Tamandua tetradactyla: one gene and its partners. The protein of the gene in region 3 interacts with the protein of the main gene of each other region in a pairwise test. Links are inferred from orthologs where the notes say so. Each region holds a gene or a part of one and is shown on either strand. Other genes may lie near its edges. The genes, in order: TXN2, GRAP, TRIM21 and USP15.

Evidence for each region.
Region 1: the proteins of TRIM21 (region 3) and TXN2 interact in binary tests that used the Homo sapiens proteins (3 or more experiments, as listed by UniProt). The two-hybrid records come from large-scale screens. The link is inferred for Tamandua tetradactyla from reciprocal best matches to the Homo sapiens genes TRIM21 and TXN2.
Region 2: the proteins of TRIM21 (region 3) and GRAP interact in binary tests that used the Homo sapiens proteins (3 or more experiments, as listed by UniProt). The two-hybrid records come from large-scale screens. The link is inferred for Tamandua tetradactyla from reciprocal best matches to the Homo sapiens genes TRIM21 and GRAP.
Region 4: the proteins of TRIM21 (region 3) and USP15 interact in binary tests that used the Homo sapiens proteins (3 or more experiments, as listed by UniProt). The link is inferred for Tamandua tetradactyla from reciprocal best matches to the Homo sapiens genes TRIM21 and USP15.

The regions. Positions count from the first base shown.
Region 1 is NC_135333.1:28,801,612-28,809,352, reverse strand, and holds the start of TXN2 (thioredoxin, mitochondrial), read left to right. Parts: upstream 1-4,544; 5' UTR 4,545-4,781; intron 4,782-4,787; exon of another isoform or gene 4,788-4,901; intron 4,902-5,605; coding exon 5,606-5,868; intron 5,869-7,741.
Region 2 is NC_135332.1:2,185,025-2,192,415, reverse strand, and holds the start of GRAP (GRB2-related adapter protein), read left to right. Parts: upstream 1-4,112; 5' UTR 4,113-4,127; coding exon 4,128-4,358; intron 4,359-6,704; coding exon 6,705-6,802; intron 6,803-7,391. UniProt on the Homo sapiens protein: Couples signals from receptor and cytoplasmic tyrosine kinases to the Ras signaling pathway. Plays a role in the inner ear and in hearing.
Region 3 is NC_135334.1:75,426,146-75,433,918, reverse strand, and holds the start of TRIM21 (E3 ubiquitin-protein ligase TRIM21), read left to right. Parts: upstream 1-4,486; 5' UTR 4,487-4,691; coding exon 4,692-4,701; intron 4,702-5,933; coding exon 5,934-6,388; intron 6,389-6,867; coding exon 6,868-6,963; intron 6,964-7,773. UniProt on the Homo sapiens protein: E3 ubiquitin-protein ligase whose activity is dependent on E2 enzymes, UBE2D1, UBE2D2, UBE2E1 and UBE2E2.
Region 4 is NC_135333.1:129,774,085-129,781,401, reverse strand, and holds the start of USP15 (ubiquitin carboxyl-terminal hydrolase 15), read right to left. Parts: upstream 3,337-7,317; 5' UTR 3,267-3,336; coding exon 3,178-3,266; intron 1-3,177. UniProt on the Homo sapiens protein: Hydrolase that removes conjugated ubiquitin from target proteins and regulates various pathways such as the TGF-beta receptor signaling, NF-kappa-B and RNF41/NRDP1-PRKN pathways.

The DNA of each region.
Region 1 (7,741 bases), on a different chromosome or scaffold from region 3:
AAAATCACAGTCCACAGATCTGCATGGGAGGATGCCTTTGCCTCTAACCAGCTGTGCACCCCTAGGTGAGTCACCTGTCCCCTCGAAGATTCAGTGTGCTCCTCTGTAAACAGTGTGCAGGGGACAGAATGCCAACCCCATTTTACAGATAAGGAAACTGAGCTTAGATGGCTTACATTACAAGGATTCAAATCCAGGTCCTCAGGACCTGTTCGTTTCACCCACCCAGGCTTCACATCTGTAAGATCAGCACACCAGAGGCCCACCTTCCCAGCTCAGGCCTGGGATTTCTATCCCGACCTCATACTGACACTAAAATGTACCTTTTCAAAGAGCTTTGTACATTTTAACTCCCTTATTGACAAACAGTATCAAAGACACAGAGTTGAGGAGTTGATAAGGAACAATGCCAGAAAGAACAACTGACTTGCCCAAAGCCCAAGTGGGTTAGAGGTAACGTCTGGTGATGACCTAGCTCCAATTCTGAGCCTAGCACTCATTTCTCTGACCTGCAGCTGCCCCCTGTTCACAGACTGGGAGCACAGCAGAAGGGTAAGGGATACAAAGAGATCTGACAAAGACGAAGGGTCCACTGCTGCCCCACCCCACCCCGCCACCCGACTCCAGCCCCTTGCAGCTGCAGGCTATGCTCTGCACAGCAGAATCTGAGCCAGCCAGTCCTGGCCTGGCAAGGGCACATGAGGAGCCTCACCCCAACATAAGCCCTGGGGCCCCAAACTCTAGGTGTCTACCGGGGACACTGGCCTGGCACTGAGGAGGCAGTGAGAGGGGTGCCTTAGGCCCACCTATATCACAGCCTTGACAATCAAGAGTTGCCATCCCGAATACGCAACTATGTGATGATATTGTGAATTACTGATTATATAAGTAGAACGGAATGAGCATATATTAAGAATATGTGTTTCATTCTTGTAATTTTGTTTTAAGTAATAAAATTTTAAAAAAAAAGAGTTGCCATCCCTGAATTACAAATTATGCTGCTGTTCCTGTGTTCATGTTCTTATTATGATTCTCAAAGGGGGTGAAGGGACATTGTGTAACTGCTGGAAACATGACAGAAGGCGAATCACAACAGAACATGAAACCAGCTCCCAGAATTGCGAAATATGTCACAGTTCTCATTGTTCTGCAACAGCATTAAAAAAAAAAATCACAAAATTAAAATCAAATGAAGAGATTCAGAGAGAGCAGAACAATGAAGCCATGAGATGCAGAGAGTCCACAAGCCAGCAACCTTTGGAGATGAAGAAGGAAAACGCCTCCTGGGGAGCTTCATGAAACCAGAAGCCAGGAGAGAAAGCTAGCAGATGACGCCATGTTCACCATGTGTCCTTCCAGCCGAGAGAGAAGCCCTGACTGTGTTCACCATGTGCCGTCTCACTTGAGAGAGAAACCCTGAACTTCATCGGCCTTCTTGAACCAAGAGTGATGCAAATGTTCTAAAAAATGATCATGGCGATGAATATACTACTATGTGATGATATTGTGAGCCATTCACCATACACAGAATGTCTGTGTTAAGAGTATTCGTGTCTATGTTGTTTTGGTTTGATAATAAAAAATAACTTAAAAAAAAAATCAAATGAAAACAGAAAACAAAGATACACTGGAAGCCGTATCTCTTGGAGAGACACTCTCAGCTCAGACTGTGGCCCCACCACCCCTCTCTGTGTTTTTTTCTTCAAAGTGCCTCCCTTCAGCCACAAAATCTGCAGCTTGGTGCAGCCCTCTCCCCTGTGATCCTGCCTGCCGGGGCCTGAGGCAGCCCACGTCCCAGGACCGTGATCCTTGCCTGGGGCAGTTACAGCACCATTCAACTTAGTTTTTATACCAATTCCACCTCCAACTATCGGGGTGACCCTGGACAAGCTACGAAGCCTCTGTGTGCTATAACAGCACCAACCTCGTAGGGTTGTGAAGATTAAAGGAGTTAATATAGGTAGGTGCTCAGAAGAGTGCCAGGTGTTGAGCAACGATTCGATGCATCTGTAACTTTCAAACCCATGGGAAGAGACACCTTTTATATCACAACCTTACACATGCAGACATACATACCTAAAAACAATAAGTGTTTTATAAAACAATACTTAACCTTATTACATGCAACATATTCTAATATTTTCCACTTCCATTTTTTTTTCAGTGCTCATCACAACCCTCTACGTTGATTTCACAGCCCACTGTTGGCTCATATCCCAGTCTGCAAAAACACTGTAAGGGGTAGCTGTAGAGACGTTCCCCGTAGCCCTGGATGCCTGGCTTCTTTCTCCTCCCTTCATATCTATTCCCTGAGCCTGCCTTGGGACTGAGCCAGACACAGGCTAGTTTGGCTGGGCGGGCAGCAGACCTGTGAGAGAAAGCATAGCGGGGGGCATCACGAGAAAGCTGGACAGGTCCTCTGTGGCCTGCAGTGAACTCAGTCTTCTCTATGTGTCTCATAGGACTAGAAATAATTTGCATTGTGAACTAAGCTGCGAAATGGGCTCTGTGGAAGAGAGCTGTGGAAATGCTGAACAGGATTAATAGGTGGTTCTGGAACAGTAAGTGCTGGGTATACAAAAAAGCAGAAATGAAAATGAGTAAGGTGGAAGCACCCCTGCCAGATGGCACATGGCATTAGTAGGAACAGCTGTACTCAAGGATGGTGACCTCAGGAAGAGCCAGGAGCACTGGGGTTCCGCTGCTGGGCCACCCCCGTTGGCTCCAGCCCTGGGGGGAAGCAGAAGCTAAAGCCAGAGGTCAGACAGGATGTGGGGGCAATGCCTGCCTGTGCCCTCACCTAGTCTCCTGCCTCTGATAGACAAGGAGGTCCAGTAAGTGGAAGGCTGACATAGCTGTTATGGGCAAACAAATGTGGACCTGTTCCAAGGATTCGCTCACCACATCCCAGAAGAGGATCCCTGAGCAGCTGTGGCCTCTGGAGGGTGAGGGGGGAGAGGACAAATAATAATGCCATGTGGTCAACATAAGCTGGAATAAGACATTCCAAGGATTTTGGAAGAGGGTAACGTAATGTAAAGAGGAATTTGGAGTCCTAAGATTTGAGTTACATCTCTATTCTCGGTTCATTCAACCTCTAAACACCTACTACCACGCACCAGGCCTGGAGGTTAGCAATGGAGAGACGAATGGGCCTTGCAAAAGCTGGCAGTATAAATGAGGAGTGAGGAACAAAGAAGCAGCCAGTAACAACACCGAGTATTACCTGCAGTGACTGACAGATGTCCAGGTGGCTGTGGGAGCACAGAGGAGGGAATCTGTCTCCAACTGCAGAAGTTCAGGGCAGGGTTCCCAGAGCTGAGTTTGATCTGGAAGCATTTTCTCAAATAGAGAGTGGAAGGAAGGGCCTTCCAGTTATAGGCAGCAGCAAATGCATAGTACAGGAATCAGAGGCATTTCGGCAAACCCTGGAAGAGTGAATTCTCAATAGTGATTCCCAGAGCAAGAAATGGAGATGTGACATAGGACTCTGCCACTTTACCTGCCTGATAGCCTTGACTGACTAGAAGCCACTCCCCGAGATACCCAAAGATACTCAGTTTAATAACATCTATTGAACACCCTCTGTGAGCCAGGCACTGTACCAAGTGGGTGCTGGGCATACACAAATTATAAATAAACACCATAAATCCCTAATCTTAAGAACACAGTGTAATGGAAGCGACAAGCACTCTACAATGTGCTATGGGAGTTCTGAACAAAGCACTAGAAGAAGCAAATAATATTGCTCAGAGAAGAGGCGACAAGACGGCCCAGAAAGGATGAATAGGCTTTCTACCAGGTGAAGAGAAAAGAAAGCATATAAAGAAAAGCGCGGAGGCATATAAGAAAAGACAAGGGCCCAGGTGTCTTCAAGGAACAGAAAGAGGACCTGAGGGGTCAGATGTACCATACAGAGAGAAGGGGAGACAGGCGGTGGCTGGGCCACCAGCCTGGGGTGCACAAAGGTACCTAGACCCCTCTGTGCAGTGACAACGGATGTAAAATGAAGGTCTCAGGCCCAAGCAGGTTCAGAGGTCACATGTTACCTGGCGCCTCAAAGGCAGCAGTCCCCAAGTATCACGACCAACGGGCCCAGCTCCCCAATCACCCTACAGAGAATAACCTGAAGTGACTAGGGGCACAAGCCCAGCCCCTCACACCACAAACTGGGGAACTGAAGCCGGGAAGCGGTGAGTGACGTGCCCCCAATCACGAGGTCACAGACAAATGCCACAAAGTGGCCTTTTGACTCCCAGTCAGAGTCTTTTTCCCCCAAAATTGCACTACGCCTCTGAGAAGCTTAACCTCTTCATCCGTAAAACGGAGGGAAAGAAGCTTTCAAAACCTCTAGGAGTCGTCGGGAGGCTGTGAGGTAAACGGCGTGACCTGGGTTGGTTGAGCCGTGAAGAAACAGGAACTTGCAAAGCCCGGAACCCGCCCTTAACTCCCTCTGAGCCCGCCCCCGTTGTACCCGCCTTCTTCTACCGCCTCTTCCGGTCCCTCCTCCAAGGTCTGCCCGCCTCTTCCGGTCCCTCCTCCAGGGCACCCCGCCACTTCCGGAACTTCACCAAAGGTCCTGCGCTTTATTTGTGCCGTATCCTGCCGTTCCCATTGGCGGAAAATCTGGGCGGCCCCTGCGGGAGCGGGGAGAAGTGCTCCAGGTCGCCGATCCCCGGAAATGACGCTTAAAGACTCTCTCCTAAGGAAGTTACGGCAGGAGTGCCCTTGACGGGCGGGGAGGGCCGGGCTGTTCATCCCTCCGCTCACACTACGGGGAGGTAGGAAGCCGGTAGGGATGACTCGAGGCGGTGGTCGCAGCTGAGGAGCACAGCGGGAGTGTTGCAGCGGGGGAGGCTCTGGGAGTGGGGAGCTGGCCCTCCCGGGAGCCTGGGCTCCAGGTTGCGTCCGATTTCCTTCCATAACCTGTGGCCCTTCTGTTGTCATTCCCCTCACACACCTGTTCCTGTGCCTCTTAGTTCCCTCTTGAATTGTTGCGGGTCTTCTCTCCTGATCCCTCAGCAACTCCCCCTTTTTCCTTATTTTCCCATTAAAACACCTTTTAAAAAGAGTATTTGATAGAGCAAAGGCTTAGCAGTCAGCTTTGGGTGCCAGTGTTGACGCTTTCATTTAATAGTTGGGTTAATTCAGGCATGTCACTTAACCACCTGAGCCTCAGATTCCTTGTCTGTAAAATGGGCACTATTTTAGCAACTTCTCAAAGTTGATGTGGAAGCACTAATAATATATGTAAGGCACCTGACCCTGGCTCATAGCATGTGTTTTCTAAATATTGATTCCTCCCACCTCCCTTCGATTGTAATTCCACTTATATCCTTATTTGTCAACCCATTTTCCTAACTCTGGCTTGCCATTCCTTTTTTTTTTTTTTTTTCTTTGTCTTTTCTTTTTTCCTTGGATTCTCATTCCCCACTCACCTCTTCTCCAAAAATCTTACACATTGTTTCCTTATATTTGCTTCCTACCTGCATCTCTCTGAGCCCTGCCCCCACCCCCTACCCCTGTACTCCCAAATACCTTTCTTTTTCTGGTGCATTGACTTCGTTTAGTCTGCCCCAGCTCTTCCTGCCTCTTCCCCTCACAGATGGCTCAACGACTTCTTCTGAGGAGATTCCTGGCCTCCATCATCTCCAGGAAATCCTCTCGGGGCCGATGGACACCCCTCACCTCTGGGGCCTTGCAGAACCTGCAGTGCAGCCCTGGTGGCCTTGCAGCAACACCCAGCCCAACCCAGACAATACACACCACCAGGGTCTGTACGACGACCTTTAACATCCAGGATGGGCCCGACTTTCAAGACCGAGTTGTCAACAGCGACACACCAGTAGTTGTGGATTTTCATGCACAGTGAGTACTGGGCATCAGCAGAAAACTGGGGTCTCATTTGTTCAGTTGCTGGACTGCCTGTTTTGTCCTAGCACTAGGCCCAGTGCTTCTCATATAAAGACTGATAAGACGTGGTCCCTGCTCTCAAGGAGTGTGCAGTCTGATAGGACACAGCCTAGTAAATAGTTTAAAACTCATTGAGATCAGTGCTGGGATAGATTTAAGTTCTGTATCTCACCGTCTGAATACCTCAGAGTCATCTTCAACCTGGAACAAAGCAGGAAAAATATGACTAGAACATCGTCTGGACTTTGATGTGTAGGAGTTCCTGGTCCAGAAGATAAGTTGATTTTATTTGAACATTTGACCATCAAAACTGTGGAAAGGACTGGCAGAAAGTTATCGGTGATCCTGTAGTGGAGCCTGAGCGTGCATGGGCTGGCAGGAGTTTCTTTTCAGTGTTATATAAAGTTTTAGGGATAGTTAAATGCCTGTGGCCTTCTGGTATTTAGCCTGGCCTTCTTTGTTTACAGACCTTGAAGCTTGCCTTGATCTCTGTCTACAAAAAAGCTGGACAGACTCCTCGGATTGAGGGACCTGGGAGGAGCCATCCTACCCTGAGTTAGAAGCTGGAAGGCCTTTTGGGCAAATCTCTGACACATTCTTTTGCTCTGTTTCCATTTCTTTCTCAACTCATGGTGGCGCCTTGGGCAGGCCATTTGAAATCTTTGAACCTCCCTTTCTTTACTTATAATGGAGATATGGTCTTGCAGACTGGGTCTTTCAGTGTTGAAGTCTCTGATGAAAGGGGTTTGTTGGTTTTTTAGTTTTGTTTTGTTTGCATGGGCAAGCACCAGGGGTTCGAACCCAGGTCTCTGGCATGGCAGGCGAGAATTCTGCCACTAAGCCACTGTCTCACTGCCCTGAAAAGGGTTTTAAAACCTGTGAATAAAGTAGTTGTCAGCCAGAGATTAGTGGAAGGCATTGTTGTGGTACACTCCTGGTATGGTAGTATTCTAGAGAGGGCTTCAGAAACAAATGATACATGGGGTGAAGTTTCATTTTCTTCTCCCAGCAAGGAAATAGGTTATAAGTTTGTTCATTCAGTGCCAGGCCCTGCCCTTGGTGCCGCATACATAGAGATGGCAGCATGGTGTCTGTCCTTGAAGAGCTCACCACCAGGAAGGGACTGCCTATACAGGGCAGTGATGGCTGTTGGTGCAGTGGCTGTGGAACCACAGAGTACCCCAGGCTGAAGGAACAGATACATGTAGCACTTCCTTGGTTGCAGTCTCAGCTGTGCTTCTTACTAGCTCTGTGATCTTGGGCAAGTTTCTTAGCTTATATGGGCCCCAGTTTCTTCGGAGGATGCTTTCTCTTCCTTTGCAGTAAGAGCTGGGGAGGTGCTGACGTGGTGACGGGCCCGTTGTTCAGGCTCCCTAGCCCCTGGATTCCCTCCCTTGATTTTTGAGTATACGTGTCAGTTCACAGAGCATGTTTATCCACATTGCCCGTGTTGATTTCTGTAAGAACTTTGAGAGTCAATCTGTTTTTCAAGTGAGGACACTGAGGCGCCAGAACATTCAGATGATTGCTCAAAACTTTAAAAATCAAATCCCATATTCTTCTATATGATAGTATATTTTTCTAACATATATTGGAATAAATAAAATAACCTCTGTGAGTCTCAGAAAATTTTCCCAGTTGCACAGTCTCCTGGCATCACCAATTGGCATGTAAACATTGCAGGTTAATATTCAAACACCATCAACAGAGCCAATAAGGGCAAGCGGTTCCCTCAGAAAGATGCGGCTTGGAGGGTTCTGGGGAGAAAAGAGATCTGAGGGGTGAGTGATCTTGTGACAGACTAGATGCTTCCTTTCTCCCCTTCCAA
Region 2 (7,391 bases), on a different chromosome or scaffold from region 3:
TGGAGCCTGGAGGTGGGGGGCAAGGGGACTTTCAAGCTGAAGGAGTAACAGAGAAACGGCAGGAGAGGGAGGACCTGCGCTTTCCTTCATTCACTCAACAAACACTTACTGAGCTCTGCCCTGTGCCAGGCCTGGTTCCAGGTGCTGAGGACACAGCAGACAAGGAGCAAAGTCCTGGCCCTTGGGGCGCTGGTAGCCCCCAGGGGGGCGGGCAACCAATAAGATGAGTAAGGACATCAGGAGGTGACAGTGGGTTGGAGAAGGCCATCAGGGAGAGGAAAGGCAGAAGGCGCTGGCTGGCTGGCTGGGTTAGACGGGGAGGTCAGAGCAGATTCTCACCCCTGGGCTGAGTGAGACTGGTAGAGGGAGGGGAGGGCAGAACCAGCCATGCAAAGAGCCGGGAAGAGCGCGCCAGGCTGAGGAAGCAGCTGCAAAGGTCCTGAGGCAGGGCATACTCAAGTCTGAAGAGTTGAAAGAAAGGGCCAACATCTGGACAGCAGCTGGGGGGAGGTTGGCACGGTCAGGTAAAGAAGGACCTGTGAAGGATTTGGATTTCATCCTAAATACAGTGTGCATTCACTGAACAAGTTTTCTTCAGGGGTAGGATTTGATCAGATTTGTGTTTTAAAAAGTTAGCAGACAAAGTCCCCTTGGGGGAATCGTGAGAAAGGGGGAAAATTCAACTTCCCCAAGTGGAGAATTCTTGATATTCTCACACGCAGTGGGGACAACCACAGCAATAGGCTGAGCCCCCAATCTTGGGGTTTCTTCATATGAAACTTTACCCCACAAAGGATAGGCTAAACCTACTTAAAATTAGGCCTAAGAGTCACCCCCCAAAAAACAACCTCTTTTGTTGCTCAGATGTGGCCTCTCTCTTCAGCCAACGCAACAAGCAAACTCACTGCCCTCCCCCTCTCTACATGGACATAACTCCCAGGGGTGTGGACCTTCCTGGCCACGTGGGACTGAAATTCTAGAACGAGCTGAGACTTAGCATCAAGGGATTGAGAAAACCTTCTCGACCGAAAGGGGGAAGAGTGAAATGAGACAAAATAAAGTGTCAATGGCTGAGAGATTCCAGACAGAGTGGCGAGGTTATCCTGGAGGTTATTCTTACACATTAAATAGACATCACATTTTTAGTTAAGGTATAACAGGGAGGTTGGAGGGAACTGCCTGAAAATGTAGAGCTGTGTTCCAGTAGCCATGTTTCTTGAAGATGATTGTATAATGATATAGCTTTCATAATGTGACTATGTGATTGTGAAAAATTGTGTCTGATGCTCCTTTTATCTACCTTATGGACAGATGAGTAAAATATGTGGATTGAAAATAAATAAATAATAGGAGGAATAACTGTTGAAATAAATTTAGTAGATTGAAATGCTAGTGATCACTGAAAGGGAAGAGTAAGGGGTATGGTATGCATGAATTTTTTTGTTTTCTTTTTATTTCTTTTTCTGAATTGATGCAAATATTCTAAGAAATTATCATGATGATGAATATACAACTATGTGATAAAAAAGAATGTTCATATTGTATGTTGATTGGCTTTATTGATGAAATTTTTTTTTAATGACAAAAAAAAAGCTAGCAGAGGAACAAGAATGGAAATGGGGAGGAGCTACTGTAGTGAAGGTGATTTACACCAAGAAAAACTCAACAAACTGTTAATGCCCTTTATATGTAAAGAGTTCTGATAAATCAACAAGGAAATCATAAACAGCCTAGTAGAAAAATGAGCAAAGGATATGAGCAAGAAATTTGCCAAAGAAGCCATGCAAACCAATAAATACTCAATTTCACTAATAACCGACAACTTGGAACTTGGAACACTTAACTGTTTTCCGTTTACCAGCTAGCAAAATTTTATTTTAGAAAGAATCCCCAAGGTTTTTGAGGGTATAGAAAAATGTGCACTTTCATGTGGGAGGAGGGGTGGACAGGTCAAGGGACAAGCATTTTGGAGGGCGTTTAGGAGACATATATAAAGAGCCTTAAAAATATCCAGGTCCCCCCCAAAATAAAAAACTATCCAGGTCTCGTGACCTAGAAATTCTACTCCTGGGAAACAGGGAAATTGGTGATGCATGTACACTATTCCACCAGCAAATATTTTGGAGAGTGTTTAATGACATAAAAATGCTCATGATACAACATCAAGTGATGAAAAAGCAGAAGAAAAATGGCCCCATACGGAAGAGAGAGTTGGCTTTCTACAGAGAATCCGTAGACAGAATTGTGTGCTGGGGTAGTAGACATTTGTGGACTAGAATGCAGAGGGAACGAAGACCTGGAAATAAATTCCTGATAAGTTAACAGTTACCCTGTGACTGGACCCCTACGGAATCTGTGTTTCCTTCTTTACTTTTTCTGCATTTCCCGAATGTTCTGTGATAAACAAGCATTCTTTCCGGGGCTGGGCTGGGGGGCGGGGAGCGAGGCCCCCTCACTCTCAGGCTTGTCCGAGAGTGAGACAAGCCCATCTTTAAGATTCTGGTACGTTTGCTTCCTTTTTTTTGCCTGCTTTTAAAGATGAAAGGCAGTATTTATGGATGACCCTAACATGTGGGATAAATGTTTCTAGCTTCTACCCAGATTTGCATTAAACAGAAACAGATCGCATGATTGGAAAGAAGTAGTCAATAATGAACAGTTGATTTTTTTTTTTTTTTTTGAAGATTTAAAAAGCTTTACACCTATTGGACCATTTGGGGACAAAAGGTAGGCTTTGCAGGGTTTTTTTTTTAATATATATAATTTTAGATTTAATCAGTGTGCTGCACGGCTCTATAAATCCCTTTCAGTCCTATTCACCTTCAGGGCAGCAATGCTACTTATAACCCCACTAATGGGCCACCTTCCCTTCTCTCCGTTCCCTCACATTTAACTTCCGCCTCACTGGGTAACCGATCACCCATCACTCCTCTATGCGACCCTCGGTCCCCTGCATTCTACAGGAAGCCTCTTGAGTTGGGCTTTGCCAGAGTCACAAAAGTGGAATCATACAGAATCTGTCCTGTTGTGTCTGCTTCTTTCACTCAGCATTGTGTCCTCGGGGCTTATCCATCTTGTCATGTGCTGCAGGACGTCATCTTGTCTTACTGCTGCATAATCTTCCATCCTGTGTAACACCACACTTGGCTGATCCCCGCCTCTGCTGGTGGCCCTTGGATTGTTTCCATCTTTTGACAGCTGTGAAAAGCGCCGCTAGGAGCATCGGTGTGCAGGGCCCAGGCATGTCGCTGCTTTCAGCGCTTCTGGTTTATGCTGAGTATGGCATTGCTGGGTCTTTGCATAAGTTCTCAAGAGACCTTATTTTTTAAACGGTTTTAGATTCATAGGACATTGGAGAAGATAATCCCGTTTCCCTGATATTAACATCTTATATGGATATGGTACATTTGCTAACATTACAACCCTAGGTTATACTTTATGAGCTAAAATCCATTTTTAGATTTTGATGACGTTCTTTATTTTGTAACATGTTGCACAAAAGTATTATTTCTCCTGAATGCTAACGTTTTCGGCTTCCCTTTGAAGTTTGTATCTGAAGCACCTCCGTGGCTTCTCTAGTTCCCGCCCCGCTAACGTAACCCTAAAAATGTCCCTGCCTGACCCTCCCCCGGGTCGGGGCCTCAGCGTGGCCGTCACCTCCCGGCGGGCCTGGGAGCTGAGCCGCTGCCCCGTCCTGCCAATGCCATGACTGTCCCCCACTGCTGGGCCCAGCCGAGAAGCTGGCTAGTCCAAACCGACCTGGGCTTGGGGGAGACTCTGTGGTTGTGGTCCCCCCAGGCTTCTTGGCCCCAAAGGTCACTTCCCTGGGACTCAGCCAGGTGTTTGGGGACATGCGGCACCCTGCTGTGCCCAGCGGAGGCCTCGCCCCCCTTCCCCACAGACACCCCCGAGAGGCTGACCACGGGGGGTCCCAGGTCCTCCCTGACCTCACTGGGAAGGCTGGCCGCGGCTCCGCCCCCCACTGCTCTGCTCACACACCCCCACCCCACCCCCACCTGCACCCCGCAGCTGTCTGGCCAGAGTTCAGGCCAAACCTTTGGAGTCGCCTTCGATCCTCTGCCTCAAGCTCCCAGACTGTCCCACCCCGAGTCTGACCACTTCTTAACATGCCCTCTGCCCCACTCACAGCCCCTTCTCCGCGCTGCAGGCAGGGACGTAGCCTGAAGCTTACCCTCCACCCGTCTGCCCTTCCAGGGTCCCCTCTGCTTTGCAAAGGAACACTGAGCCCCTTCCCACAGTGGCCAATAAGGTCCCACAGCCCCCGCCCTCCCTCCACTGCAGACACCCGTCCCTTCTGTTCCTGGGACGCAGCTCGTTTCCGCTCAGGCCTCGCATGGGTGAGTCCCTCTGCCCCGGACACTGTTCCTTACCTTCTCATGGACGATTCCTGCTGGCAGCTTTGGCCTTAGCTCTTGTCACCTCCTCGGAGAGGGCTTTCCTGGCCCCCTGGCCCCATCTTCTTCCATCTGTGTCCTCCCGCCTTGCACTTTGCAAACCTCGTACCCTACATTCAGCTACCTGTCCGCTCCTTCTCCCTGCCCCATGGGAGGCAGCCCCATGTTCACAGCTGCACCCGCAGACAGGGCACACAGCAGGCGCTCAGTGCATGTGTGCTGAGTGCACGCACTGAACCAGGGTGGAGGCCGGACAGGAGCAGAGGCTCGGGGCAGGCACAGGTGTGCGTTTCCCCTCCAGCAGGAGAATTTCACCAGGGAGGCACTGGGCGGCCCTCCTTCCGGGGAATGTCTGGCTTTTCAATAAACCCTAAGAACTCAGCTTATGCAACCAATGAGCCAATCTGGGGCCTCTGAGTCAACCTGACAGGAAAACACAACCAAAATGGGAATGACCCATTCATACATTCCTACAGTCAGCAAAACCCAGCCGGTTCATGTGCCCATTTAACAGATGGGTAAACTGAGGCCCGAAGCCACAGAGCGGGCAGAGGCAGGCAGAACCCTCTAGAGTCCCCAGCCACACCATGAGCCTGCATTTTCTCTTTAATTTGGGGATTGTTTTATTTGCTTTTCTTCTTTTTCTTTCTTTTTAAGTGGAAGTGCTCTAAAAATACACCAAACTGAGACAACTGCTGCTTCCGTCCATCCCTGGGGCAGAGGGCCTGGAAGGGGCTCAGCCAGGCCCTCCACAGGCAAGGGGTGCCCGGCTGCAGGGCTGGGGCCTCAGGCCTGGGCCCCAAGGGGGACCCCAGCTCCTCTTGGCAGAAGTTCACCGTCCAAGCTGACATCCGTGCATCGGCCGCCCCCGCCCCCACCCCCCACCCCAGCCTTTGCTTCTGTGGCTCCCTCCCTCTGGGATGCTGCCCTCCCCCAGTTTTTGCTCTCAACAAATATCCCCATTAGGATCAAAGAGATGGGGGGGTGCAGGGGAGGGACAGGTGTCAGGGCCCCGCTCCAGGCCTGCTGAACCAGAGACCCCAGGCCCCGAGCGTTGGCTTCCTGTAGAGGCTCTGTTGGCGTGGCCTCAGCCAGGCCCCTTCCGCCCTCTGGGCTTTCTCATCTGCAGAATAATATTTTCACAGAGAAGAAAAGGCCCAAAGGGACATTACTGGGGCATGTGAAATAATCGGAATTAGGTCAGCGTTAAACTTCTTGAACTTGATAGCTGCGCTTGGAGCGGTTACCCAGGCAGACTTTAGGAGATGTGCGTGGCGGTGCTGAGTGCTCCAGGCGCCTGGCGTGTGAACCTGCACTCACATGATAGGCACATGGATGGATGGATGGATGGACAGACAGAGAGAATGATACAGCAAATGTGGCAAAATGTTGAAATCGGTGGAGCTGGGTATCTGGAGGAAGTTACCTTGGCGTTCTCTGCGTGGATTTTGTATTACTTTTGCAATTATCCTGTACATTGGAAATTATTTCAAAAGAAAACGTTAAAGAAAAAAAAATACTAGCTAAAAATAAATAAATAAATAACATTTCATCGTGTCTATCACCGAGGGCCGTATAAGAACTGGGGTGGCTGGTGTGACGCTTGCCTGCTGTCACCCCACCGTGCCCCTTCCCCGAGACCTGCCCCCAGCCTCTTGGTTGGTTGCTCACCTGCAGCTATTTCAGTTCCCCTTGTCTCAGCTGTGTGGCTGCAGGGGCCCTCACCCCATGGAAAATTAGCCCTTGTGACCGGACCGGCCTCCACAGCCCGAGGCTCCTCTGCCTCACTTCCCCCCTCTAGGTACCTCCTGCCAGCCCCAGGCCGCGGGGGCTGTTTAAATGCTAGTGTCCCAGGATGGGCACCCCCACCATCCCGGGGTCCTCAGATCTTCTCCCCAGGGCCTCCGTGCAAAGGCTGTGAATCCCCAGGTCTGCTCCCCAAGACCCCGCGGCCCGCTGTGGAACTGGAGACCCGGGAGCGCCAGCTGCCCCCCAAGCCTCCACCATGACCCAGGGCTCCTGTGTGTCACCCTGACCCACCTGCCCCGGGGGGCCGGGGACCGACCGGGACCAGACTCTCCTCGGCAGGGGAAGGGCAGGGCCACGTCACGCAGGCTGAGGTCCCAGCGTGTGACCCAGGAGGGACCTGCCGCTGTGCTGCCACCTTCTCCTCCGAAACGGGGTCCGCGGTGCCTTCTCCTTGGGCAGGGGGCGGGGGGAGGTCGAGCCCAGCGTGGCGCGCCGTAGGGCCTCGGCAGGGCTGACTGGCGACGTCCCTCCTGCCCGCAGATCCTGAACATGGAAGATGACCAGAACTGGTACAAGGCCGAGCTCCGGGGTGCCGAGGGCTTCATCCCCAAGAACTACATCCACATCAAGCCCCACCCGTGAGTGTTCAGCTTCTGCCACCATCTGGCCCCACCTGGTGCCACCTGCTCACACCTGGCCCTACCTGGCCCTACCTGGTCCCACCTGGCCCTACCTGGTCCCACCTGGCCCTACTGGTCACACCTGGCCCTACCTGGCCCTACCTGGCCCCACCTGGCCCTACCTGGTCACACCTGGTCCCACCTGGTCCTACTGGTCACACCTGGCCCTAAATGGCCCTACCTGGTCCTACCTGGCCCTATCTGGTCACACCTGGCCCTACCTGGCCCTACTGGTCACACCTGGCCCCACCTGGTGCCACCTGCTCACACCTGGCCCTACCTGGCCCTACCTGGCCCCACCTGGCCCTACCTGGTCCCACCTGGTCCCACCTGGCCCTACTGGTCACACCTGGCCCTAAATGGCCCTACCTGGTCCCACCTGGTCCCACCTGGCCCTACTGGTCCCACCTGGCCCCACCTTGCTGGGCTCAGCAGAGGAGAGCTGCCCGTGGAGGGGCACGACAAATCTCTCAGGCACAAAGCCCCCTCACCCACCCCTTTGTCCATCCGTCTGGGTCCTGAGAAGGGGATGTATGACATATATGGC
Region 3 (7,773 bases):
AGACTCTGAAATGGCAAATAAGACTGGTGTCCAATACAGATCACCCTGAAAAAGAGGGATGAAGGGAAATCTTTCCAATGGGAAGAGCTTTCAAGCAAATGATTATTCCCTTCAGATCTATATATAAACTGATAACCTGACAATTTTGAACAGATAGGATTATCTGAGATTGATGATAAAGAGGTATGGGGAGAAGTATGTGTTGAACTTCTAGAAAACAGTCCAGAGTACAAAAATATGTTTGTCCCATGTGAATACCTACCAAAAAGTATCCAATGCAGAGAAGGCAATCTATCAGGTAGATAGATGATCAGCTTCTGTCCCAGCCACCTGTTGCTTGTTCAATGGACTCAGGTACAAGCATCCAAATCAGTAGTGGAAAAAGATAAGCCTTGGTGAGGTAAAGTCTATGCTATTTACCTCAGATACATCCTCTATCCCTGCTGCTATAGATACCTGAATATGAAAAGTCAACTCTGAGCCCAACTTTTCACTATTTCTAGGAGGGTGTAGATAATCTTCTAGTGGAAGATTAGTTATATTGAACCAAAAGAAATTTGTTGTTATGAAATAGGTATATATTCCAAAGACAGTTTTATTTTTCCCATCTATAATGCTTCTGCCAGCACCACCACTTTTAGACTTACACAATCAGGGTACCCCAAGCATACTTACAACTGATTTTACAGACAAAGAATTCTGATATTGGGCTTGCTGTATGGAATGCACTGGTTTTACAGTGTATCCCATCAGCCAGAAGCAGCTGGCCCAATGAAACTGTGGAATGGCCTGCTGAAGGCTCAGCTATGGCACCAATTTGGAAACCCCACCCTGTAAGAATGATGGCGATTCCTATACATTCTGGTACATGCTTAAAATCAGCAAGCAATATGTGGTAACTTTTTGAAACGTATATCCAATATGTACACATTGGTCAAAGAATCAAGGGAAGGAGGTGAAAGTGGCCCGTGTTTCTATCACATTAATAACTCATTTACAAAAAACGGATTAAAAATTTAAAAATAGGGGTGACAAAGGTTAAAATAAATTGACTAGATGGAAATACTAGTGGTCAATGAGAGGGAGGGATAAGGGGTATTGTCTGTATGGGTTTTTTCTTTTTTCTTATTTGTTTTTCTGGAGTGATGCAAATGTTCAAAAAATGATCATGGTGATGAACAAGCAACTATGTGATGATATTGTAAACCATTAATTGTTCACCATGCGTATTAGTTACGGTTCTCTAGAGAAACAGAATCAACAGGAAACATTCACAAATATAAAATTTATAAAAGTGTCTCACAAACCACGGGAATGCGGAGTCCAAAATCTGCAGGGCAGGCTGTGAAGCTGACGATTCCAATGGAGGGTCTGGACAAACTCCACAGGAGAGGCTTGCCAACTGAAACAGGAACAGAGCCTGTCTCTTCTGAATCCTCCTTAAAAGACTTCCAGTGATTAGATCAAGCATCAGTCATTGCAGAAGACACTCCCCTTGGCTGATTACAAATGGAATTAGCTGTGGATGCAGCTGACGTGATCATGACCTAATCCTATGAAATGTCCTCATTGCAACAGACAGGCCGGCGCTTGCCCAACCAGACAAACAGGTACCACCACCTGGCCAAGTTGACACATGAACCTGACCATGACACCATGTATGGAATGTTCGTATGTTAAGTTTTACCAATTAACATATTTTTTAAAATTTAAAAAGTAACTCATTTACAGAATATTTCCTTTTAGTCTCCACAACATAGTACTCTGCCGGTTTGTAGGTCCCTAGTAAATAACAGAGAAGCCCTTCCACTAGGGAAAGCAAACCTGATTGCAATCATTGGAATCTGCCACTGTTCCCTGCCTATTTGGAGTTTCTTAAACCACTGATGACAGAGTAGAGGGTTCCTACAAACTGACTGGAATGACATCCCTACTATCAAGGAAAACTTGGGTTGCTGGTACACAGTGGGGCAAGGAGGACTGGCTGGACCTATAACCCAAGGTATATGGTGAAGAGATTCTTATTCTCATCAAGTAACAATGGTCAGTGTGCTAAAGACAACGTGTGCTAATGCGATAAGGCAAGAACATGAAGGATACTGCTCCTTCAAGACCAGAGATTCACGTGCCATGTTAAGAACAAACTGAAGTACTGGCAGTGACAAGAATTTGGAACGGGTGGTATAAGAAAAGCTATTATTATCAACTTTGCCTTAATCTCCACCTTGGTAATGGGTATAAGATCAGTGTTTAAAAGTTTGTTAAAGTTTATCTGGGCAACAAACTACTCCAGAATCCAGGAGCACCAACCCAAAAGTGGCAAATAGCTCCAAGAAGGGAGCGGAAATTGGGAACCTATATACAGTAAGTCTTTCTGATTTGATAGCTAGGCTACATTGCCTTATTTGAGCTGTTCCCGATGGAATGCCCCACCCTAAGGTGACTATTTCTGATTGGCTGGCTTTACTGCCCTGCCTACCACTGACTTTATGTTGAAAGGCTGCCCCTCCCAAGTTTCCATCATGTTACTTGGGTTTGTGGATAAGGTATTGGCCAAGGCTACTCCGCCTCTATTTTATTTTAGTAAGATGATAACATCTGTTTTGCCAGTTGATTTGTGTGCATAGTATTGAACAAGCACCAAAATAAACCTGTGGTGTATATATTAATATCCCTGCTTAATAGATGAATAAGCTGAAGCTCAGAATAATGAGCACCCAGGAAATAAATAGCAAGATCAGCACTGAACTCACATCTGCTCTATTTTGAGCCCTAAGCTCTTTTCATACACCTCCCAACAGTGGTTTACTCAATTCCTGCAGGAAATCACAAAGAATGCATTGAGGTGAAGCAGAATCATTTTGTGAGTGTCTGCAAATTCAAATACTGGTCGCTTTTTCTTTTTTTTTTTTTTTAACTCTTTCATTCTGCTTGAACACTAGATGTCACTTGAGAGCCTTTCACTTATACATTCTCTTACAAACAGAACTGGAAAATTTAAAGCATGAAGTGTTTTTAGGATTCCTAAATCTATTGTACAGATGAAGAGAAGCTTCACTGATGTTTTTACCTTACGTTATACAGCGACAAAACACACACACACACAGAATGAACTGGAAGAAATTTAGAATTCTTCTAATCTCACCATTTCCTCACCTTCTTTTCTACTTCCTCATCTGCAGTTTGTGACCACACCCTAACCAACCCTCCCTGCAGCCTCTGCTTCAACTGCCAGGGCAGCCAGTTATCTCTGGGCTGTCACTAAAATGAGGATCTTTTCTAGACTGTTAACTCTAGTGCACTTTTGCTTACTACGTCACTCAAGCAAGTCACTCCACTCAGCTTCATTGTCCTCCCTGAATATGAGAATAATAATCCTCACTTGCTAAATTGTTGTGTAAACTACAAAATATACCTGCTTCCTGAGCCACCGTGGCTCGCCCTCAAAGTTCTCCCCTGCCATGCTGGAGACCTGGGTTCAATTCCTGGTGCCTGACCATGCAAAAAAAAAAAATATATATATATATATATATATATAACCTGCTAAAATCCCTACCTCGGTGACAAGAACACGGTGGTCCTCAATACATGTTAGTTTTCTTCTTGCCACTCACTGGTATGATATCTGCTTGGCAGTTGGGCAGAATAAATCTCTTACCCCAGATGTTGAAAGAATATCATGTTTTGGGAAAAGGAATTCATTTATGGAAGCAGGAAGCAGGTAGTGGTATATAACAGGGAGTGCCAGGCCCTTTTAGGAGCAGCACCCAGATGCAGACACAGCATTTATATACAGGAAGGTGACCAGTGCCAAAGAAAGCACATTTGGGTAGATTTATTAATTTATCACCAAGTCTTCTTTCCCAGACAGCCAAACTGTATAACCAAATCTGCTTTCCACGGTACCCGACCCTTTTCCTATCCCCCCAGCTCAGACCATAGGAATCCACAGAAGTTAGTGTCTCTAATGCTCACTGGAAGGAAGACAGTAGAAACCACGTCAGATCGGCCTTTCTGGGTGCCCAGCTCCTGCCTTACAGCCGAGTAGGGGACAGTTTCCCCCCAGAGCAGCTTATGACACTGCTCTAGAGTGTGCAGTTGCACTGGAGGGAAGAGGGCCCATAAGCCACAGGAAGAGAGTAATTGCAGACCTCGGAATTGGGAGGGAAACAGCCTCAGTTGCACAGAGCTGGGAGGGGGAAATGTGAGAGGGGCCCCTAAATTAAATTAATGGGAACGAGCTTGCACATAGGATGAACTGCTGCTGAACTTTCTCCAAGAAGCCTGAATCTGGCATTGTCAGAAACCTTCTTACGTTCTCCCCCGGCCCAACTCCTTTCACTTCCCTACCTTCCCTTCTTCACTCCTCCTCCTGCCCCGCCCCTCTCCGTTTCCATCTCCTCCCCGCCCATTTCTCCGCCCACACTCCTCCCCTGGGTTTTTTTTTTTTTTTTTTTCTGACTTGCCGCTTAGAGGAAATCGAAAGTGAAATTGATAAGCGCCTGCCGTCCAGTGACTACCCTGTTAAAGTGAGTTAATTTGGCCAGATTAAGGTGCCCGACCCTCCCTGGGGGCTGTTCTCCCTCCCCTTACCCAGATTTGAAGATTCTCTTCCAACCCGAGAGCCTTCTATCCGAATTGTCCTTTCTCTGCTCCTGACTTGATTGGACCCAAGCCCAGAACTTATTCCCATGCTGGACAGTGAGTATGATTTGTACCAGGAAGAAGCTGGGGCTACCCTGATGCTGACGCCAGATCTGGGAGGGGGCAGGTGAGGGTGGAAGAGCTGGGTCCTAGTCTAGCCTGCCGGGCGGCTGGGGAAACCCAGCATGAGGTATGGAGCCTTCCTTGAAGCTGAATGTTTTTTCCTCCCATCCCCCCACTTGCTCCTTGCTGGTTCAAGACCGAGCTGGCCTATACCCAAATGAAGACAGGAAGGTTTGCAGTTGCTCAGAGGAGTCCCTGTCAGGAGCCCCTGCCTGCTCCTCCTCACACCCTCAGTACACCCAGGGGCCACCCCTTCCCCAGCAGCTCAGGGGACACTCCACATCCCTGTTCCTCAATAGCAAAATCCCTAAATTTCTTCCTCCTCTATGTATATGACTCCTGCCATTATTGTAATGATTAATGAAGATGTATGCAAAGCGTGGAGCACATTCTCTGGCACACGGAGGATGGAAGGGCCATAGTAAATGGTATCTGTTATAATGATGAGCTTCTCAGCAAAATGGAGGGCTGGTGGGATAGGAGAAGATGGATAGAAAAAGCCTGAGCACTGAAGGGAATCTTTATAATAAATCACCACAAGAATTTCCAAAGTGACAGTTGGTGGAAATGGTCCTTGTGTGAAGCTGGAGACCCCATGGCCTGAGCCCCATACTTCAGCAACCCCTTCCTGGACCTCCCCGCCAACCAAATACCTAGTGGGCACACCTCAAATAGAGAAGGTGATATAATTAAATGAGTTCATCCCTCAGCCCCAGGCTGGGCACATAGTAAACCATCAGGAGTTGTTTTTTTGTTTATTTTATTTTACATAGGCAGGCACTGGGAATCAAACCCGGGTCCTCTGGCATGGCAGGCAAGCATTCTTGCCTGCTGAACCACCGTGGCCCACCCTTGTTTTGTTTTGTTTCACCTTCTTTATCATTCCATTTGAAGGACTTAAGCAACGATAGACATGGTGAAAGAATTTTAAACAGCTTTATCTTTGAGGTTCTAGACAATTTCCTCTCCCTCTTTTGTGGACTCAGTTTCCCCTTCTTTCTAACTATATCAACAGACCAGACTATGGAGGAGTCTTTGTTATTTAGGTTGTTCTCATCTTTCCTATTTTCACCCCCTCCAGTTCACTCCCCCTTATAGTTTCCTTTGAATCATTTTTATTTCCCATAACCCCTCTCTTCTTTCCTTTTTTTTTGTCTCCCCAATAGTCCCAAACAAGATCTCTGTGCTGCTGCTTAGCAGGGACGTTACCTCCATGGCCTCAGCAAAGCCCCTGGCAATGATGTGGGAAGAGGTCACGTGCCCTATCTGCCTCGATCCCCTAGCAGAACCTGTGAGCATTGAGTGCGGCCACAACTTCTGCGAAGAATGCATCTCTGAGGTGGGGAGAAACGGAGGCGCTGCCTGTCCCGTGTGCCGGAAGAAATTCCTGCTCAGGAACCTCCGGCCTAACAGGCAGCTAGCCAACGTGGTGGACAACCTCCGGCAGATCAACGTAGATGCCAAGGAGGGCACAAAGGGGGACCACTGCGAGGTACATGGAGAGAAACTTCACCTGTTCTGTGAGGGAGACAGGAAAGCCCTTTGCTGGGTGTGTGCCGAGTCCCGGAAACACCGCGATCACCCCAAGATCCCTATTGAAGAGGCTGCTCAGGATTACCGGGTAAGGCATTCACCTGGAGGCATGGACAGATGGGAAGGAGACGCTCCCCAGAGCAGGGGATGAACAAGAAGTACCCCTGGAGTTGACTGGTTGGGGAAAGGAAGGTTATTCCATGCCTAATATACCAGGGGAAATGCAAACTAAGCACAATCTTCTCAGTCCCCAGGAACAGGGACTGTGCTATGGAAAAATGCTGCAAGAATCACGTTTCCTTGTGGCTTCCCGGTTAATTAGGAACTAGTAACGCCTCCGCCCCCGCCCCCACCCCCGCCCCCACCCCCGTGACTCCAACAGTGTAGCTCTATTCCGCAAGCAAAGATCAGGCTTTTGCTCAAGTCCTTCCATCTGCAGAACTCCTACCCCACTCAGACTCTAGTACCCAGGCCTTTCTAAGAACCAATCTGAACCTCCGCATCCCACAGCGCCCCCCCTACACTTCCTGGTCTGTTTGGGGACTAACTTGCTGTCTTCCTCTCCAGGAGAAGCTCCAGGACGCTTTAGAGAAGCTGAGGAAAGAGCAGGAGTTGACTGAGAAGTTGGAAGTGGATGTTGCGAATAAGAGAACAGCCTGGAAGGCAAGAATCATGCCCTAAAACGGACCTGAGATTAGAAGCCTGGCAGGATCTAAGATCCTGGGCTCAGTAAGGCCCTAAGCACAGCTGTCTGAACAGTGACAGAGTAGGGATACGTCACTCTACAAAAACCAACCATCCTCAACTGGTGGAGGTAAAAAAGACAGAGGCTAGAAGCAGAGGCCTAATCAGACACAAATCTTGACAGTTCATGGGAGACTATGCTGAGGAGGACAAGTCATACCCCAAAGACCCCTGCACCTCTGAGCCCAGTCCCTGGCAAAGGGGTGCGTGTGAGAGGGTAGCACCGCTGCCTCTCACTGACAGAGGTATCTCAGAAGAAAAGCCCAACAGCTATGCTTCTTTTTTTTTTTCTCTCTCCAAATCGGAGTAGATATTTTAATGAAAGCAATGGTCCTGCCATTCTTTATTTCTCATAATACATATTTACAGAAAAGACTGTCCGTTTTAAATTTTTATAATTATACAACTTTTTGCAGTTGAATCAAACAATGGACATCTCAGTAACTTTTTAAAGCAGCTTCAATGTATGTGTACAACTTATGTGATGGACATTGAATAATTGGAGTAAGTTCATTTTCAAAATGAGCACCTGGAAAAAGTAATGAAGCAACTTCATTGATGACAGGATCTCTTGGGAGAGTTGATTTAAGACCTTATCTTGACCATAAATCCACAATCAATCCAACCTTTCAAACTTCATTTTAGAAATGGGTGGGAAAATAGGTGAAAGGCTCTGACTGGGCACAATTTTCTACGTAGAGTTACAGTGGCTTTTGAGTTACTTGTATT
Region 4 (7,317 bases), on a different chromosome or scaffold from region 3:
TGGGCTGGCACCGGGAATCAAACCCGAGTCTCCAGCATGGCAGGCGAAAACCCTGCCTACTGAGCCACTGTGGCCCGCCCTTACCCTCACTTTTTAATAGCCATATTATTGTCTTGCTCTCTTGTATCAGCTTTGGCTTATTTCTTATTATACAGTCTAGAACCAAGGGTATCATCAAGAGTTTGTTCCTCTTCATCTCAGACTTGTGTAACTTGAATTTGCAACTGGAGAAAATTAATTTGCAGTAAAAATCAGTCATTATTTATAAATAAGCAGAAACTCTAGCATTCACCTAAGAATCAAATGAATCTTAATACCCGACTAAGTATTAAGAGTTACCAGAGTACTACAATACACTCATCGGTGAAATGTATTCTTTTTAATGCATTTGACTATAACTTCAATCATCTGTATTTAAGTTTCAGAAATAAACTTATGGTAAACCCATCATTTTTTCCCCAATAGCCCAGTCTTTCTTTTTTTTTTTTTTTTTTTTTTTTTTTTTTTTTTTTTTTAAAGGAAAGACAGAGAGAAGGAAGGAAGGATAGAAGGAAGGAAGGAAGGAAGAAAGGGAAACATTTTTAAACATTTTCTTGTTTTATTGTATTCTGTTTCTCCGTTTTTGTTACATGGGCTGGGGCCGGGAATCGAACCGAAGTCCTCCGGCATAGCAGGCAAGCACTTTGCCCGCTGAGCCACCGCGGCCCGCCCAGCCCAGTCTTTCAAAGATGGTTATCCTACACACACACACACACACACACACACACACAAAGCCAATGTTCATTTGCATATGGCCCATTCCAGCTTTAAAACAAACAAGCTTTGACCAAATACCCAGAAAAAACTAATCTGAAACTTTTAAAAAGAGACGTTAAAAAGAGAAATCTAACTTTTTACTGAGTTCCAATATGTAAGCCCAAGTAATAACTAAATTAAATATCTCTACCAGTCCTGAACTTAAGGATATGATCAAATCTATACTTTTCCTTAAAAGACCAAATCAGAGTTTTACTCTAAAGTTCTTGCCAGGTTTCAGTTGCTAAATGGCAAGTAAAATGGCTCACATATAAACCAAACTGGTTTCTGCAACTGCCCAGCACTACATAGTTCCTGTCATTTTTTTTTTCTTTAATTCAGAGGGAAAAGTAATGTTTGATAAAAACCTACACATTCTGCTGTTACTTAAAATATCTGGGCTTCAGTTTCTTAAAATGAAACCATTGAAATAACTCAAGTTTATAGACCACCTGTATTTACCCTTTAAAATGATTTACAATAACTTTGTAAATAAAAAGCAAAAATACATTCATTTGAAAAAATGCCGCACTTAAAAGTTTAATGACCACAATACACTCAGCACTTGTATCATCCTCTAAGGTCAACACCACCAATTATTACTCAGTGTATCAAAAATATGACAAGACTAAAAAGAAACAATACTATCTAAATTTTAACTTACATATTTCTATTATAAGGAAATCCACATTTATCTTTTTTATGCGGGGGTAACTGACTAGATGAATAAAGAATTGTTAAATGTTCTTTAATATACAAAGGAATCAAGGATTGATTTCACCTTTAAAAGCACACAGGCCAAAGTCCATTTTCCCACAGTAATAAACATCTTAGGAACATTCCAACTTGAAGAACAACGATTATAAATTCATTCAAACATTATAATTTATGCTGTATTGCAACAGAAATATTTGACACCCTTAGGAATTTTTGTTATATAAAAAAAATAGTATGCAGTCTGACAAAGTAGAAAAATAGTGCCAGGATTTACATCGTATCATTTAAATTTAAATCCCAAGTTTGCCATCCACCAGTTTACTTGAAAATGGTACTAATACCACAGGTGTATTCTCAAGAGAGGAGATAAGACGGTAACTGAAACTTGATGTCTCTTTTGGAAATTAGAATATTTAATTAAATCAAGATGAAACCCCTATAGTGAAATTATTATTGTCCATTTCCTAAATGAAGATACTGAGGTGCAATGATTTAAATGAACTTTCCCCAAAGTCATTCCACAAGTTAAGTGGTGGAGCTGTAACATAACTCAGGTCTAAATCATATGCTCCTTCCACTAAAAGTCATAATAAAGTACATGAAAAAAACACTGCAAATTATATACCATTATTATAGTGACAGTAGGAAATGAAAATAAGTTTTTATTATTATAAAGAAGCACAATGAATACAGTATGTTCCTTAGCTGTTTTCAGAAAAATTATGTATTTGTATTTTTATTTTAAACACATATACACAAATCATAAAAAAAAGGCATGCTTGTTCTCATCATCGCAATAAACTAAGCATTTTATCTTTATGCCACATATTCACAAATTTATGTTATTTTGGATGCCACTTCATATGGCCAAAAGGTATTAGTCTCCACACCTTCTTCAGCATTTTAAGTGTATTTCCTTTTGGTGTTTCATAAGTTTGTAAATTGTTACGTTACTTAAGCCTTATCTACTTTTTGCAGGCCTACATTATCACTGAAACTGGAGGGGAGAGCTGCACTTCCAAAGAGTCGCAGCCGGCTTCTAACGAGCCTCCACTGAAGCAGAAGACCACGTGGTCACTTCTCATAAGCCTAAGGTTCCCTACTTCTCTTCCTCCTTTAGACTAGGGTTTCCTTCTCTTAATTGGTGCCCTGACACGTGCCACCTGTGTAGTACTAACCGCAAACATCCTGCATCCTGCATCCTGTCTTCCGGAAGAATATAAGAATCAAAATAAGAGCAAACTCAGATGCCGACAATGCCAGGAAAGGAAACGACTGGAGAAATAAAGCGGGTTAGACCGTGATAAATCGCAGGACCGGGATCTGTCAAAACACTGTTAAGACTCATGCCAAACGACTCTAACCTATCGTTCGCGAAGGCCCGAGGTGGGAGCGGCACTACGGAGGGAAGGAGGTCGAAGAGAACTACACGAGCCGCAGATACGGCTTCCACACACCTCTCACTCAGCACGCCCCGACAGACCACTAGCCCTGGCCCACATCTCCTGCCCCAACATTTCGGGAGCGGCCAAAATCCTGTTGCCCAGGGCGGCCACCGCCGAACCTGCCCGCACCTGTCACTAGCCAAAGACACCAGCCCATGGTTCCGACCCAGTTCCCCACCATCCTTGGGCAACTGAGGACACCTCAACCCCTTTTCCTCACCAGGTGTCCCCTTTCCGGAGCGAGGTTTTGAGCAGCGTCGCGATGTCAGACCGCTGGGTGTCCAGATCCGCCGCTCCGCCTTCCGCCATCTTCTTCCACTAGCGGTAGCGGAGGCGGAGGCGGCGGCGGCGGCGGTAAGCCCCAGAGCATTATGGGAATGGCGTCCTGCGGCCCCTCCCAGCCGCCAGGTCGAAACCAAAAGAGAAGGAAGGGGAGGGGGGTACGCCTCGGGAGTGTGCACTGAGTACGCGGCCGTGGTCTGCTGCCCCCCATCGTCCCCCCTTTTCCCAGCAACCTGCCTCCGCCACTACCTATGCCCATCCGGATCCCCTGGTTTTAGCTTTCCCCCGCCGGGTATCCGAGGCTCTCTCGTTTGAGCAGTGCCATACCCGGATCCATCTCAACTTCTGCCTTCTCCTGCCCTCTTTCTCGCGAAAGCCCGAAAACCCTTATTAGCGCATTCACTCACGCTAGAGGGTAGGGTGGGGTGGGACAAGGGGTGTGGGGACGGCTAATCAATCCCTGGCAGAAAATTTTATCAGCTCCTGATTTTTGTCTTTTCATCGCGAGTCCCGGAACTCGACCTCGGTGAATACTGGCCAAAACAAAGGACGACAGGACAACAACGCTTGGCCTCAAAGCCCTCCTCGGTCTCCTTCCAGGTGCTTACTCCTGCTGCAGGTGGGGACCTTTTGTGACGCCTCTCCAGGCGCACCCAGACAGCTTAGCTGCAGTGGAAAACATGTCCCAGTTCCTCAGTGAACAGGGCATAAAATACGTATTCAATAATGCCAAGCACCATATGATAATAAAACGTGCGAGTTAGCCCTGTCTCCTCAGTATCGGAAGGTAATCTTTTCTTAGCCTCATCTTTCCATGGTGTATACACCTGAAATGAAACTAGAAATAAGACCAATCAAATATTATTTGATGCCAACAGTTATGTTACAATTGGGGAAATCGAGTCTCTCAATATGAAAGGCCTTGGCCAAGGTCACAGCCAGCAAAGTGGAAAGACAAGTTTATAACCCAGGTTCTAAAACGCACGTGCTTTCCACCATATCACATCACATCACATCACATCACATCACATCACATCACACCATCACATCACAATCACAATCACAATCACAGCACAACTGGCTTTACAATGTAAACTCTACAAGGGCTGGAACTGGGTTCATCTTTTAAAAAAAAAGCCAAATTTCTGTACGTCTGGTGGCTAGTACAGCGCTGCCTAATACAAAACTTCCTTCTAGATATTTGTTTAATAAATGAATTGTTGCAAAACTGTTTCAATCTTTCAAGGATGAAGATGTCCATAGATTTGGGATTAAGATAACATAATGCTGTGAAAAGTATAAAAGATGATGAAAATCCCTATATGATCTTTCTCATTTTCCCATTTTTAACTCATTTGCTGAGAATGCAGTAAAGATGGATGTAATTATGCCAATAAGAAGTGTTAAACCTTCCCAAGTGAAAGTAGTACATATTGGCATTATGATTTGTGTCTTTCAGCATTATGATTGCTTATTTTCTGCATAGTAATACTATTGTGCACTATCATGTCATCCTTTTGAGAGTCTGAAAACAGCTTCCAGCCTTTGCTATTTCTTACATTATTTGGCTTTTTTTATGGACGGGCTAGAAAAATAACTAAAGCTGACTCGGGTTCCAGAGTCCCCAAACTTACCTGGTTTAGGCAAGCTTCTAATTTTCTAACAACCTTTATGATCTTGTTTATAGAAATCAAAATTTCAGTGACCTTAGTTTACTAATTAATGAGAATTCTGCTTCTTTTATTTATGCTTCTACTCTCAAGCATAATTATGAAAAGAAATGAGATATTGTTTGTAGATACTAAATTGATTAAGGTGCACATCCCTACTGAATAGATAAGTACCCTGAAAGGATTACATTTTCCCCCTTTTCACCCAACCTCTGAAAGAAAATAATTTTTCACAGAGAAGCAGCATGACATGGAAAGAATGTTAGCATCACATGGTCCTAAGTTCAAACCTCACTTCAGCTTCTTGCTGCAAAGTACCTAACCTTTACTGTAGTTTTAGAATTGGGGATAAAAATACCTACCTTAAAAGATTTTTATTAGGATTAAATGAAACAACACATGTTTATTGCCTGAGATATAATAACCAGTCAATAAATAGTAGCTTTGTTTACTGGTGGAAAAAGCATTAAGAATTTTGAAGGCAAACTCCTCCCTATCATTTTATAGACATAACATAACCAAAAAGTGATGCACCATTCACACTTTGCTGTCCAATTTTCCCTTCAAAGAAGATGTATTTTTGAAATATTGAAGCCTGAACTCATATAACAAAGTAAAATAATTTTGTCCTCATTTACACATGTTCAAGGCAACTGAGTTAATTGGTTATAGATGCGTAAATTCACTGTAAATTTGAATTATACATCAGATTTATGAGGTTGTATTGTACACCTAACCAGTTGCCATCAGAGACAGGAAACAAATACTAGTTATTTTATTTAACAAGCTTACAAAGTGTTAAACATGGTTCTAAACATGATACAAGTACCAATAGTGGTATGAGTAGGTCCCACTATTATCCCCATTCTATAAATGATGAATTGAGGCAAAGAACCTAAATTTGAACCCAAGCAGTCTAGCCCCAGCATCTAAAAGATTTGGTTAAGTTTCTATTTTTCTAGCTACCTTTATGATCTTGTTTATAGCAATTAAAATTTTAGTGATCTCAGTTTACTAATTTATGAAAATTCTGCCTATTTATTTATGGTTCTACTTGCAAACATAATTATGAAGAGAAATGAGATGTTTGTAAATACTGAATTGATTAAGGTCCACATCCCTACTGAATAGCTAAGTTGATAATTTATGAGAAAAATTATTTGACCTTGACTCACACAGATAACAGAATATAAATCAAAGGCTACATTTGATTATTTAGATTGTGTGGCTTTACTGATGTTTTCCTTAATCAACTTTATAAGAATGTATTATTTGCTTAAGTGTTTCTCATTGCCTTCACAGACCCTTTGTACCTTTCTTGTCCATTTAAAACTTAACCTATGCCGGAGACCTGGGTTCAATTCCTGGTGCCTGCCCATGTTAAAAAAACAACAACAACAAAAAAACTTAACCTAGCTCTTGGGGCTGGCCCTTATGAAATGTATTCCTACAAGAGAAGAGGATAAGCCTACTTAAGACTATGCCTAAAAGTCACCTCTTTTTTCTTTTTCTTTTTTTTTACATGGGCAGGCACCGGGAATCAAACCCTGGTCATTCTTGCCTGTTGAGCCACCATGGTCCGCCCAAAAGTCACCTCTTTTGTTGCTCAAATGTGGTCTCTCTCTCTAAGCTAACTCACAGGTAAACCCACTACGCTCTTCCCTACATGGGACATGACTCCTAACGTACAAATCTCCCTGGCAGCATGGGACATAACTCCTGGGGATGAGCCTGGCCCTGGTAACATGGGAATGAGAAAGTCTTCTTGACCAAAAAGAGGAAGAGAAAGGAAACAAAATAAAGGTTCCATGGCTGAGAGATTTCATATAGAGTTGAGAGGTTATTCTGGAGGTTATTTTTATGCACTATATAGATATCCCTTTTCACTTTTTGGTATATTTGAGTAGCTAGAGGGAAATACCTGAAACTGTTGAACTGTAATCTAAAAGCCTTGATTCTTGAAGATGATTGAATAACTATAGAGCTTTTAAGGTCTGTCCATGTGATTGTGAAAACCCTGTGACTGACACTCCCATTATCCATTATCCAGTGTAAGGACAGATGAGTAAGAAAAAAAAGACAAAAAAATAAACAATGGGGGGATGGGGGATGGTATATTTTTGGTGTTCTTTTTACCTTTGTTTTTATCTTCTTGAAAAAAAATTTACAGAGCACCTATTTGGAATGATGGAAATATTTTGGTAATTGATGGTGGTGATGGTAGCATAACATTGTGAACATAATTAACAGCACTGAAATATGTATCTGAATATGGCTAAAAGGGATATGTTATATATATATATATATATATATATATATATATATATATGGTCATAGGATAAATTTTTTTTTTAAATCCATGAAACTGCACTATATAAACAGTGACCCCTAAGTTAAACCATGGACTG